3 linked regions of the Tribolium castaneum genome follow. The protein of the gene in region 3 purifies or fractionates together with the protein of the main gene of each other region. This does not show direct contact. Links are inferred from orthologs where the notes say so. Each region holds a gene or a part of one and is shown on either strand. Other genes may lie near its edges.

What was found.
Region 1: the proteins of succinate dehydrogenase [ubiquinone] flavoprotein subunit, mitochondrial (region 3) and ScsbetaG fractionate together in Homo sapiens (co-fractionation; 3 studies listed by BioGRID, with this or other methods). This does not show direct contact. The link is inferred for Tribolium castaneum from reciprocal best matches to the Homo sapiens genes SDHA and SUCLG2.
Region 2: the proteins of succinate dehydrogenase [ubiquinone] flavoprotein subunit, mitochondrial (region 3) and succinate dehydrogenase assembly factor 2-A, mitochondrial purify together in Homo sapiens (co-immunoprecipitation; 3 studies listed by BioGRID and IntAct, counting the BioPlex papers as one, with this or other methods). This does not show direct contact. The link is inferred for Tribolium castaneum from reciprocal best matches to the Homo sapiens genes SDHA and SDHAF2.

The regions. Positions count from the first base shown.
Region 1 is NC_087403.1:5,255,736-5,259,324, reverse strand, and holds ScsbetaG (succinate--CoA ligase [GDP-forming] subunit beta, mitochondrial), read right to left. Parts: upstream 2,251-3,589; 5' UTR 2,041-2,250; coding exon 1,984-2,040; intron 1,931-1,983; coding exon 1,807-1,930; intron 1,756-1,806; coding exon 1,656-1,755; intron 1,610-1,655; coding exon 646-1,609; 3' UTR 511-645; downstream 1-510. Other genes in the region: pyrethroid hydrolase Ces2a, read right to left, coding at 2,905-3,044, 3,090-3,304, 3,352-3,589. UniProt on the Homo sapiens protein: GTP-specific succinyl-CoA synthetase functions in the citric acid cycle (TCA), coupling the hydrolysis of succinyl-CoA to the synthesis of GTP and thus represents the only step of substrate-level phosphorylation in the TCA.
Region 2 is NC_087397.1:3,194,780-3,197,582, reverse strand, and holds succinate dehydrogenase assembly factor 2-A, mitochondrial, read left to right. Parts: upstream 1-1,388; 5' UTR 1,389-1,529; intron 1,530-1,580; 5' UTR 1,581-1,604; coding exon 1,605-1,643; intron 1,644-1,702; coding exon 1,703-1,833; intron 1,834-1,879; coding exon 1,880-1,993; intron 1,994-2,043; coding exon 2,044-2,200; 3' UTR 2,201-2,261; downstream 2,262-2,803. Other genes in the region: Bcat (branched-chain-amino-acid aminotransferase, cytosolic), read right to left, coding at 1-141, 827-850.
Region 3 is NC_087399.1:7,962,029-7,965,786, forward strand, and holds the start of succinate dehydrogenase [ubiquinone] flavoprotein subunit, mitochondrial, read right to left. Parts: upstream 2,780-3,758; 5' UTR 2,649-2,779; coding exon 2,586-2,648; intron 2,446-2,585; coding exon 2,190-2,445; intron 2,079-2,189; coding exon 1,657-2,078; intron 1-1,656. Other genes in the region: enoyl-CoA hydratase domain-containing protein 3, mitochondrial, read right to left, coding at 2,862-3,231, 3,277-3,467, 3,511-3,646, 3,698-3,758. UniProt on the Homo sapiens protein: Flavoprotein (FP) subunit of succinate dehydrogenase (SDH) that is involved in complex II of the mitochondrial electron transport chain and is responsible for transferring electrons from succinate to ubiquinone (coenzyme Q).

The sequences.
Region 1 (3,589 bases), on a different chromosome or scaffold from region 3:
CCAAAATAATTCAACATTTTAAAACACTAAAAAAAAGATCTAAGCTTACTTTTTCAAATGCCCAAATACGATTTTAAAAAATGATTGCGATTTGTCCAAGGAACAAGGGTGCTGTATTTTTTTTAATGACTTAAACTAGGATATAAGATGAAGGAATACTGAAAATTGTTTTAAAAAACTTGATTAATCGAAAAAGCAATAAAAAAACAGTACCGTAAAATTTTCTCACAAAAGTACATAACTTTTATCAAGCAAACTTCAAATTTTATAGTTATATTCACATTACCTTACCTGACTGCCTTAAATACAGAGGTGGGCAAAAGTATGGAACGAGTTTTTTCAAAAATAAATTTTCGAAATTCTTTTTAGTAAGTATTAGTACTTTTAGTATTTTAGAGCATAATCTTTTATCAAAAAAATTATCGTAATAGGGTGCCATTTGAAGAAAAAAAATTTTGAATACTTTAAAACTATTATCTGGGATATAATGGTGTAATGAAAAACGAATAGTATATGAGAAATTTTTATTAACCGAAAATACAATATCAAAACGAAGTAATGAAAACATTGGTCATTTGAACAGTTTTTTGTGCTGTTGACTAATGAGCAATATCAACAAATTAACACTTTATCAACAAAAACACGTTAGGCATTCTGCACCGCTTTTTTGGCGGCATCGTCGAGATTTTCAGCTGTTTGGATATTCATGCCTGAATCCTTGATAATTCTCCGGGCCTCCGCCGCATTCGTGCCTTCCAGTCTGACAATCAAAGGCACTTCAAGCTTCATCGCCTTCATTGCACCCACGATTCCATTGGCAATCGTCGCGCAATTCACGATCCCGCCGAAAACGTTGACCAAAATACATTTAACGTTCTTATCAGACGTGAGAATATTGAACGCGGCTTTGACCTGCTCCTCGCGGACGCTGCCCCCGACGTCGAGGAAGTTGGCGGGGTCGCCCCCATGCAGCTTGATGATGTCCATGGTGGCCATGGCCAAACCGGCGCCGTTGACCAAACAGCCGATGTTTCCTGTCATCCCGATGTAGTTCAGGTTGTATTTCGCCGCTTCGACCTCGCGGGGGTCGCTCTCGGTGACGTCCTCCAACGCGAAGATGTCCTTTTGGCGGAACTGCGCGTTGTCGTCGAAATTGATTTTCGCATCCACTGCGATCACTTTATTGTTGTCCGTTTCGACCAAAGGGTTGATTTCGAGCTGAGTGGCATCGACGGCGAGGAAGAACTGCCACAGTTTTTTCAGCTCGGCTGCGGCCAAACCCTTGAGGGGCCCCTTGAACTCCAGGAACTCGGCCACCTCATTGGCCATACTATCGGTCACCCCCTTGTGAATATCAATGGGGATGTTTTTGATCAAATGGGGCGTCTTCTCAGCCACGGCTTCGATGTCCACGCCGCCTGCGGGGGACGCAATTAAGACAGGCCCGTTCTTCTGCCTGTCCATTAAAATGCAAACGTAGGTCTCCCTCTGAATGTTCACACTTTCGGCAATCATGATTTTTTTCACCTCGATGCCGTCCTTGGGCGTCTGCTTCGTGATAAGCCTGTGGCCGAGCATTTTTTTGACGATATCGTCGACTTCATTGCGTCTGAAACAAACGCTCAATTTTGACAAAACCACAAAAAAAATTTTACTTCTCAGTGACATGAACCCCGCCTTTAAAACCATTGGTAAAGTGGCCTTTGCCGCGACCACCCGCCAGAATTTGTGCCTTTATTACGTATTCTTTCACATCTGCAAAAAATTAAACAGTGACATAACCCCAACTTTTATTAACACTTTTACTAAATTTATCGAACTCGGAGCATCCCTTATCATCAACCATGCAAAAGTCTTGCACAGCCACCCCATTTTTGCGCAAAAGGTGCTTGCTTTGGTACTCCAACAGGTTCAAATAACGCACCGGAACCTGAAAATGATTGAGGTTATGTCATGTTTTTTGCGAATTTGTAAAAAAGTTACGGAGAATTGTTTTATCTGAGTCGGGACTTTTAAAAGAGAGTTCCAGAGGGAAGACATTGTTTGGTTTTCGCAATAAAGGCACTGCACACTTATCACTGGTATTTATCTAATTGGGGAACAGCACGAATGCACAAAGTCCAAATGTCTGAATGTTTTATCTGAAATAATTGTCCATAAAAAAAGACGGAGCGAGAAATTGCTCAGTGACGCAACTTTCGGCCAATTTGTGGGATAATTAAGCAAAACACACTCCTTAAGTTATTTTATATTGATCTAGGTTAGGTTTTTCCCATAACTCTAGGAAAAAAGCATTGATTTTGATTTTTGGTAAAGGGAAGGTAATAAAAACGATTTTTCGATTTTCTTACGCAAAAAACTGTATTTTTTATACACATATTTATACTTTTTCCACCTGTGCTAATTAGGTTTCTAGGTTAAGAATGCGGGATTTTATTTTAAAACAAACTAAACGGGACAGATAAATATCTATTAGTTTTTATTTTTAGTACACATTTAATATTTTTAATAACTATTTACAAAAATAGGCGTTTTGATTTAAATAAGGGGCTGTGCTCGCCATTGGTGGAATCTATATGTCATTGTACATAAATGGCCAATAACAAACTAGATAAGTATGTACAGTGAAGGTCACAAGATAATTATTTTTGGACACTATTTTTACAAAGGTGATGACAAAAACAATAAAATTGTTGTAACGACACATCTACAGTCGAAATATATTTATAAATGCGTTTGTTAAGCACCGATATGTACATATTTTCCCGTCTACCTGATTCCGCTGACATTTATAAATAGAATTAAAAAAACTTAATAGTCCTGTCTTGTCGCCCAAAAACGTATCACAAGTGATGAGACATCTAAATATATTTAGTTAATTGAAAACTGGTTTGCAACTTATTTTTAATATCCCATATGAAGATGATTTTCCCGCTCCCTCGATCGCTTTTTCAATAAAACAATGCAAATTAGGAGCAAAGCGAGCAGGGCGATCACAAGAGCCACCAAAGTGTACATTGCATGCCGGAAACCTGCAGCCGGGTCTAGAACTTACCAAATAAAATGCAACTTTGTGAATTAGTTATTACCTGGACTATTTTGTAGCTCCCGCGGGATGTTATTCGATAAATTATTCTTAATATTGGCCATTTTTGGCACGAGCTGGTTCCAGAACAAAACCCTCTGGACGCGTTTTTTATTTTCTTCATTTATGTGGGAATTAACCGGCCCAAAATTTTCGATATAATAGTCCCCCGAGGTGTATTTTCGCCACGATCTGACCTGATTGTTTAGTGTCGGCTCCCTGAAATTTTTTCCTAGACTTTGGACTATTCATGTTGGGGGAAATACCCAAACATTATAAAGTTGGTCCATAACTGTTTGATTTGTCGACTCAAATTCATTTCGTTGGCGTTGAACCGCCGCCTGGCCACTTGCTTCAGCAAAATCGGTCCAAATACCAAGAGAAGGTCTGTGGTAATGGTCGAATCGGTTGTATTGAGAACAAACCCAACATCATCCATAAAATAAACATAAATTGGTTGCACGTATGACGAAATCAGGTGCGAAAGTTGCAAAAAATGTGGCG
Region 2 (2,803 bases), on a different chromosome or scaffold from region 3:
TCGAAAGGTGTACTCGGAGTCGTTATACTGCTCGTAGGTTTTGAGTTCGTCGAGTCCTAGGACTTCCTTTACTTTCAGACTGCACGCTCTGGCGGCTTGCTTGAGCTTGTGTTGGTGCTGGAGGACCCACTTGCAGGCGCACTGGAAAAAATACATTTTGAATTGCTCTGGAACAATGAATTGATTCACGGCCGATGTTTGTTTCTATTCAATTAAAAATTGCAGCTTTAACCTTGTTTTAACCAAAATTAATAATTTATGACTCGGTAAACAAAGTAGTCGAAATGAATCTCTCCTTATTTCTATTGTGATTTTTATGCATTTCGAAGGTGTGAATTCGACGTTGTTTCCTGCTGAAGTTATTGTTTCAATTTTCCTAATCAAAATTCAGTCGTCTTTTTAATATTTATTCGGCCGACGATTCTATTACCGATTTTGGAGATTCGCAAATTTCCTACACGTGGAGCAGCACTTTTTGAGCATTTTTATTAGTGCTGGAGCAACAAACATGTTGTGAACATAGCGCAATAACAAGATGTTTTTGTCTTGCATTCTAAGACAAAACAATTCGGTTGCGTCAGTTTTTATAAAAAATATCTAAATGGATCAAAAAATTTCTAGCAAAAATCGCTTCTAGAAGTGTGTTGAAATTCAACAATTGCAACATTGTTGTTTGGCAAATTTTGAGTTGAAAGTTTATCACCAAAAACTAGCTTTGTCCAGTTTCTCACTTCAAGACGTATTGATAAGAAGAAAAACCAATATTTTCCTATTGTTAAAGACTCAGAAGTAAACTGTTCGGAAACAAACAAAAAAGAAAAAATACCTGTTTGCTTGTAATGACTGACATCTTCTTCCTTAAGAATCACAACAAAACACGAACGAACACTCACTTGGAGATATTTGTAATAATAATACGTTGGGAATACTGCTCGCGTTAAATCGAAATATTGTTAGTTTGAAGTTTGTCGCTCAACTGGTGTATTGTAAGCTTGAACGCATGAATATTAAATACATAAATTAATACTTATCGCCGGCTATTTTATAAACGGGAGTAAATTTAGGAGAAAAGAATTAACGTCTTATCTTTCGCAATATAATAATAGAGCTACAGATGACGCAAGAAGAATCTCGAACAAGAACTCTCGTAAAAATAAAAACATTGATGGTGAACCATTGAAGTCAATCATTATTGTCGTGTCGAAATATGATAATGAAAGATCATGACCTTAACAAAACTTTTATGTTATCGGTGTTATTATTAGGCATTCTTTCCTTCTGGGCGATTTAAACCAGTATCAAAAACTGATGAGACTCAACTAATTAGGAGTTATCCAGATTCTACGTCGTCTAATCCAAAAGAAAATCTAGCTTTTGAGCAAATTAAATAAAAATAAGAGTGTACACAACTAGTTACATCTATCAAAATTAAAAATATTCAACCCATTCAGTCGATTGAATAAAAATTTAAATTCTGAATTCGCGCCAAAGTTACGTCATTCATTTAACTTTGACAGATGACATAACCGGTGAGAAGTTTTTGCTTTTTTTTTGCCCAAATTAATCAAAATCTTTGATAGGTTACTCTTTTTAAGCTCCCTGTCATGAATTCCTTTAAACTGGTTAACAATTATTGCTTCTTGGTAAGCATTAGAAGTCCTTACTGTGACATGTGTGACATAACCACAAATTTCGTTTCCAGAGGCCCACATTTCGACTTTTTTTTGCAAATCGAAATGCCACCACAGTAATTGACCCTCCAGACAGCCCCGATATTAAGATCCCCACACCTAAAGTTCGTGACAATGAGCCTCTGGAACAGAGGCGGGCCAGGTGGCTGTTTTACCTTTTAGTGTCATTATTTTATGTTAAATTTTAGGCTTTTGTATCAGTCTCGTAAAAGAGGGATGCTCGAAAATGATCTCTTATTAAGTACTTTTGTAGCTAAATATTTGAACACTTTTACTGAAAGCCAGTTGGAGCAGTATGACAAGTAAAGACAAGCCTTAAAGAAAAAACAATAGGACTAAAATGAATTTTTAGGCTTATAAATGGTCCTTCAAACGATTGGGATATTTATTATTGGGCCACTGAGATAAAGGAGACTCCAAAGGAGTATCAACATGAGATTATGACGCTGTTGAAGGAACATTGCAAGAATTTGAATAGGGAGTCAAGGATTAGACAACCTGATCTCTAAATGTGTATTATTTGTTTTTTGTTGTAACGTTGTGTAAATAAATAAATAAATTAATAAATTATACGAGTGTTTTTCTGAAATGATGCATCTTTCCCTTCTTTTGCAAAATTTATTTTGACGGCTGCAGTTACCATTTTTTAGTTTACATAATTAAAGAAAATACGATTTCCAAAAAAAAGGTATTCTTGAGACGTAAATAACTCGTACCGTTACTAAATTCAAATTTGGTGGCTTCTTGTACTCTATTATGTAATGGTTCGGTGTATATTTGGTTGCCTATAATAAAAGAAGTTCAAAATCTTATGCAATTTTATGGGATCATAAAATACAATACGTCTTACTACTTTGGTGTAAAATTTAGTTAATTGACGGTTAATTGTTTTCAATTTTTTGCAAAACTGTCCCAAAAGCCATATTGTTTGTCTTGCGATTAGTGGAAGCTGTTCCGGCAATTATGTAATTACGCCTTAATGGAATTACGCATCTGAACTCATGTCTTTGAATTAATTACACTAATTAGAATTTTTACGCCCAGTGGAATGCAACAATGAATTGCTTTAATCACTGATTGAATTATTAATTTTGCTCAATGTGGGTGAAAGG
Region 3 (3,758 bases):
CTTATTTTACTGTCTGAATCCTCTTCACCTTCACCGTCAATCACTTTATGGTCAGAAGTCTTTGTTTTCTATTTTTTTTTAAATTCTTTTCTTTCCTTTAGGTATCTAGTTTTTAGTTTTTTATTTCTTTTTCAATTTTCCTTTTATTTGTTCAATAAGGGTATTTTTATGGGGAGACAAAGTTTTACCAAAGGCCATAGCAGCTTTTCAACATTTTTTTTATTTATTTATTTTTTTTCTATAGTCCATATTGAAAGAGTAAATGGGCAGCTACGAAGAATTAATGCAATAAGATGTCATTTGTAGCGTCTTTAAGTCCACATTTAAACCCTTTCCTCTACATATCAATTCAATTAAAAGATAATCGATTATTTTAAAATTAATTACATTATAACAATTATTTTGGAAAATCATCGTCTGACGAAGTTAAATGATGTGTTAAAATTTTGAATTAAAATCCGTCATTTTTGAAGTTATATTCATGAAAACTGGTATCTAGGCTATCGGCAAGAAATGGAGATTTTTTTTTAATTCCACCCTCAAGAGGGGAGGCACTAAATAAGGGTTAAAAATCTGTATTTTTTTACAATTATCCAAGGGTGACTTATAATAGTACAACCCTGACGAACTTGAAACGCAACCAATTATACAATTATCGTTAATACCTAGATCAAATCGATTTAATCAGTTTTAGCTTTGGACATCACTATAATATTTCCGATTGTCAGAAAATTATTAATTATTTTTCAAACTTTATTACCTATGAATTGTTAAAATAGTGCTTTTCATATTACATGTCGCACCTACTTAGTGGTAAAACAAGAAAAAACAATTCAAAATCCATCTAATGCATATTAGTAAAAACTGAGTCTAGTGACAGCACCATTTTTAGAAAATTTTGACTCATCACTAAATAGTAGATTATTTAAAAAATTAGATTTCAATCTATTCTTCTCCAAAACTGGATTCTTGTCGTATAGTCCCTTTCTTTTAATTCTTGAACCAAACTTATGGTATGGAATGACGGCTATAGTTTATGTTTAGAATGGAACAACAATGCATTATTGTGTAAATGACGACAAAAATAATTTTATAAACATTATTTAACAAACAATAAAAAACTATAACAAATTAAAATAATTTTTCAATTTATTTTAACTTGTTTCTAAACTTTTATTCCATATCGATAACACGGACGGGTGTACGAACTATAGAACACAACAAAAAAAAATAACTTCTTTAATCGATTTCGTAACGAATAAAGTATTGTTAGTTGCATTTAACCGACGCAGGCAGCGTAAAGTTACGTGAAACACCGTGTACACATCTTGATTTTTCAAAGATACATACTGTAATTGACGTTCAAAAATAAATTATTTATCTTGTCACAATTCGATAACGTCAAGGATGTCCAAATTACGTATTGGAAAAATATAATTTATTAGATGTTAGATCTAGTTATTTATGAGAATTGTATATTGGGTTGCATTTAGGGTTCGTCAGGGTCGTATTCTTATACGATTATGGTATTTAGGTGTTCGGTTAAAGATGAATCTGGGCCTTTTTGGATATTCCACCCATAAAAGGGTGTAAGAAAAAATCCGTCATTTTTGAAGCTAATTAAGCTAAAACTCCAAAATTTTTAAGCGGACTTACGGTGTTTTTGGCCCGGATCCGGTGAATTGTGCCGTCTTCAAGACACAAAGCAATGACTCCTCGGCATTCCCCGTCCTCCATAATCAAATCCAACGCAAAATATTCGATAAAATAATTGCAATCGTAGCGCAATGACTGTCCATAGAGCGTATGAAGCAGGCTGTGCCCGGTTCTATCAGCCACGCAACAACATCTATGGGCCTGCCCCCCTTTCCCAAACTTAAGACTCTGCCCCCCAAAAGCCCTCTGATAGATTTTCCCCTCGGAAGTGCGCGAGAACGGCATTCCGTAATTTTCGAGTTCGATGACCGCCTTGGGGGCTTCCCGCGTCATGTAGTGAATGGCGTCCTGGTCCCCCAACCAATCGGAGCCCTTGACCGTGTCGTACATGTGCCACTGCCAGTTGTCCTCCTCCATATTACCTGTCACATGGTCGCGAAATAATAGCAGAAAATTCCCCCAGATAACTTATCACTTGTTGCTCTTTGAGCCCCAGACGGGTCAAGGCCGGGGCAATGGGAATCTCCACTTACCTAGCGCCGCGTTGATGCCCCCTTGGGCCGCCACCGTGTGGCTCCTGGTGGGGAACAGTTTGGTCACCACCGCGGTCTTGAAGCCCTCGGCCACGAGCCCGAACGCCGCCCGCAAGCCGGCGCCCCCGGCCCCCACGACCACAGCGTCGTACGTGTGGTCCACAATGGGGTACACCTTCGAGACGGCGTCACTGCTAACCTTGGCATTTTTCTTGTCGACGCCGATGTGCAACCCTTGCGCCAGAACCTTCGGGTTCTGGAACAATTAGGTTAGAATTAATTATTTTTAAAGGTTAGAAACCGTCGATGGTGACTCGATTTAATCCAGAAAAACTCAAAACATTTCCACCAACTGTATTATGTAACACGTGATTATTTGGCCAAAAAAACGCCTACCTTTGCGACATTCGTCAAAATATGTTTCGGAAAAATCGTTTGTATCTTTAAAAGGCCACTCATTTTAATCACTTTCTAAACTAATTAGAAATTTTTGAAATGACCATTAAACCCCGGCACCTTTCGCTAAACTGGACAAAAAAACAAATGACAATCGGCGAAAAATGTACGGCTTGACCAATCACGTGCCGTTTCGCCGAGCTGTCACGTTCAAATTAAGGCGCGAATTGAAACCAAATCGTTCAAAACAACTTTATTTGACCCAAACAACCAACACTAATGCGTCCATTGGGGCTTCCGTTTCTCGATGAAGCTGCGGATGCCCTCTTGCCCATCCTCAATTTGCAAATTCTCGACCATTTTGCGCCCCCCCATTTCGTAGGCTTTTTTCACCTCGGCATTGACCTGTTCGTAATAAAACCGTTTCCCCAGTTCAATCACCGACCGGCTTTTGCCCATAATAGCCCCACAAACGGCAGCAATCTCCCCATCAAGGTCGCTGCAAACTTTGGTGATTAAGCCCCTCATTTCGGCTTCGTGACTCGAAATTGGTTGTCCGGTCAGAAGCATTTTCAGGGCGGTGGTTTTGGGGACAGTCCGGGCCAGGGCTATGCCCGGGGTTGAGCAAAAAATGCCAAAATTAGCGCTGAAAAATGGTATTATTTCGAGTTGGTTGGTTTAGGGGAAGTACCCAGGTGTTGAAAAGGTGCTTTTTTCGGTACAAAAGGCCAAATCGCACTGGGCGACGAGTTGGCAACCGGCGGCCGCAGCGAGACCATCGACTCGGGCTATCACAGGAACGGGGCAATCGATGATTTTGGTCATTAGAGTTGCAGCAAGAGAGAAAACTTTGTTTTGTTGGGCTTTGCCATGCTCTGGAGACTAAATTTGGGGTCATTTAACGCAATTAAATTGTGAATACTACCAGTTCTTTTAAGTTGTGTCCGGCTGAGAAAATGGGGCCTTCGGCACCTATTATTATCACTCTGGTGCTCTTATCAGCTGATGTTTCACTGATGTTGTTGATTAGGTGGTCCATCATTGAAATTGACAAGGAATTTCTGTTCAAAATACCGTTTTTACCTATTTTTTGTTAAATGTAACGAAAGTACCGTGTTTTTTGGTCGCACATCACTATTTTCGCAATTCCATTTTGCACATTCATGTGTGTGG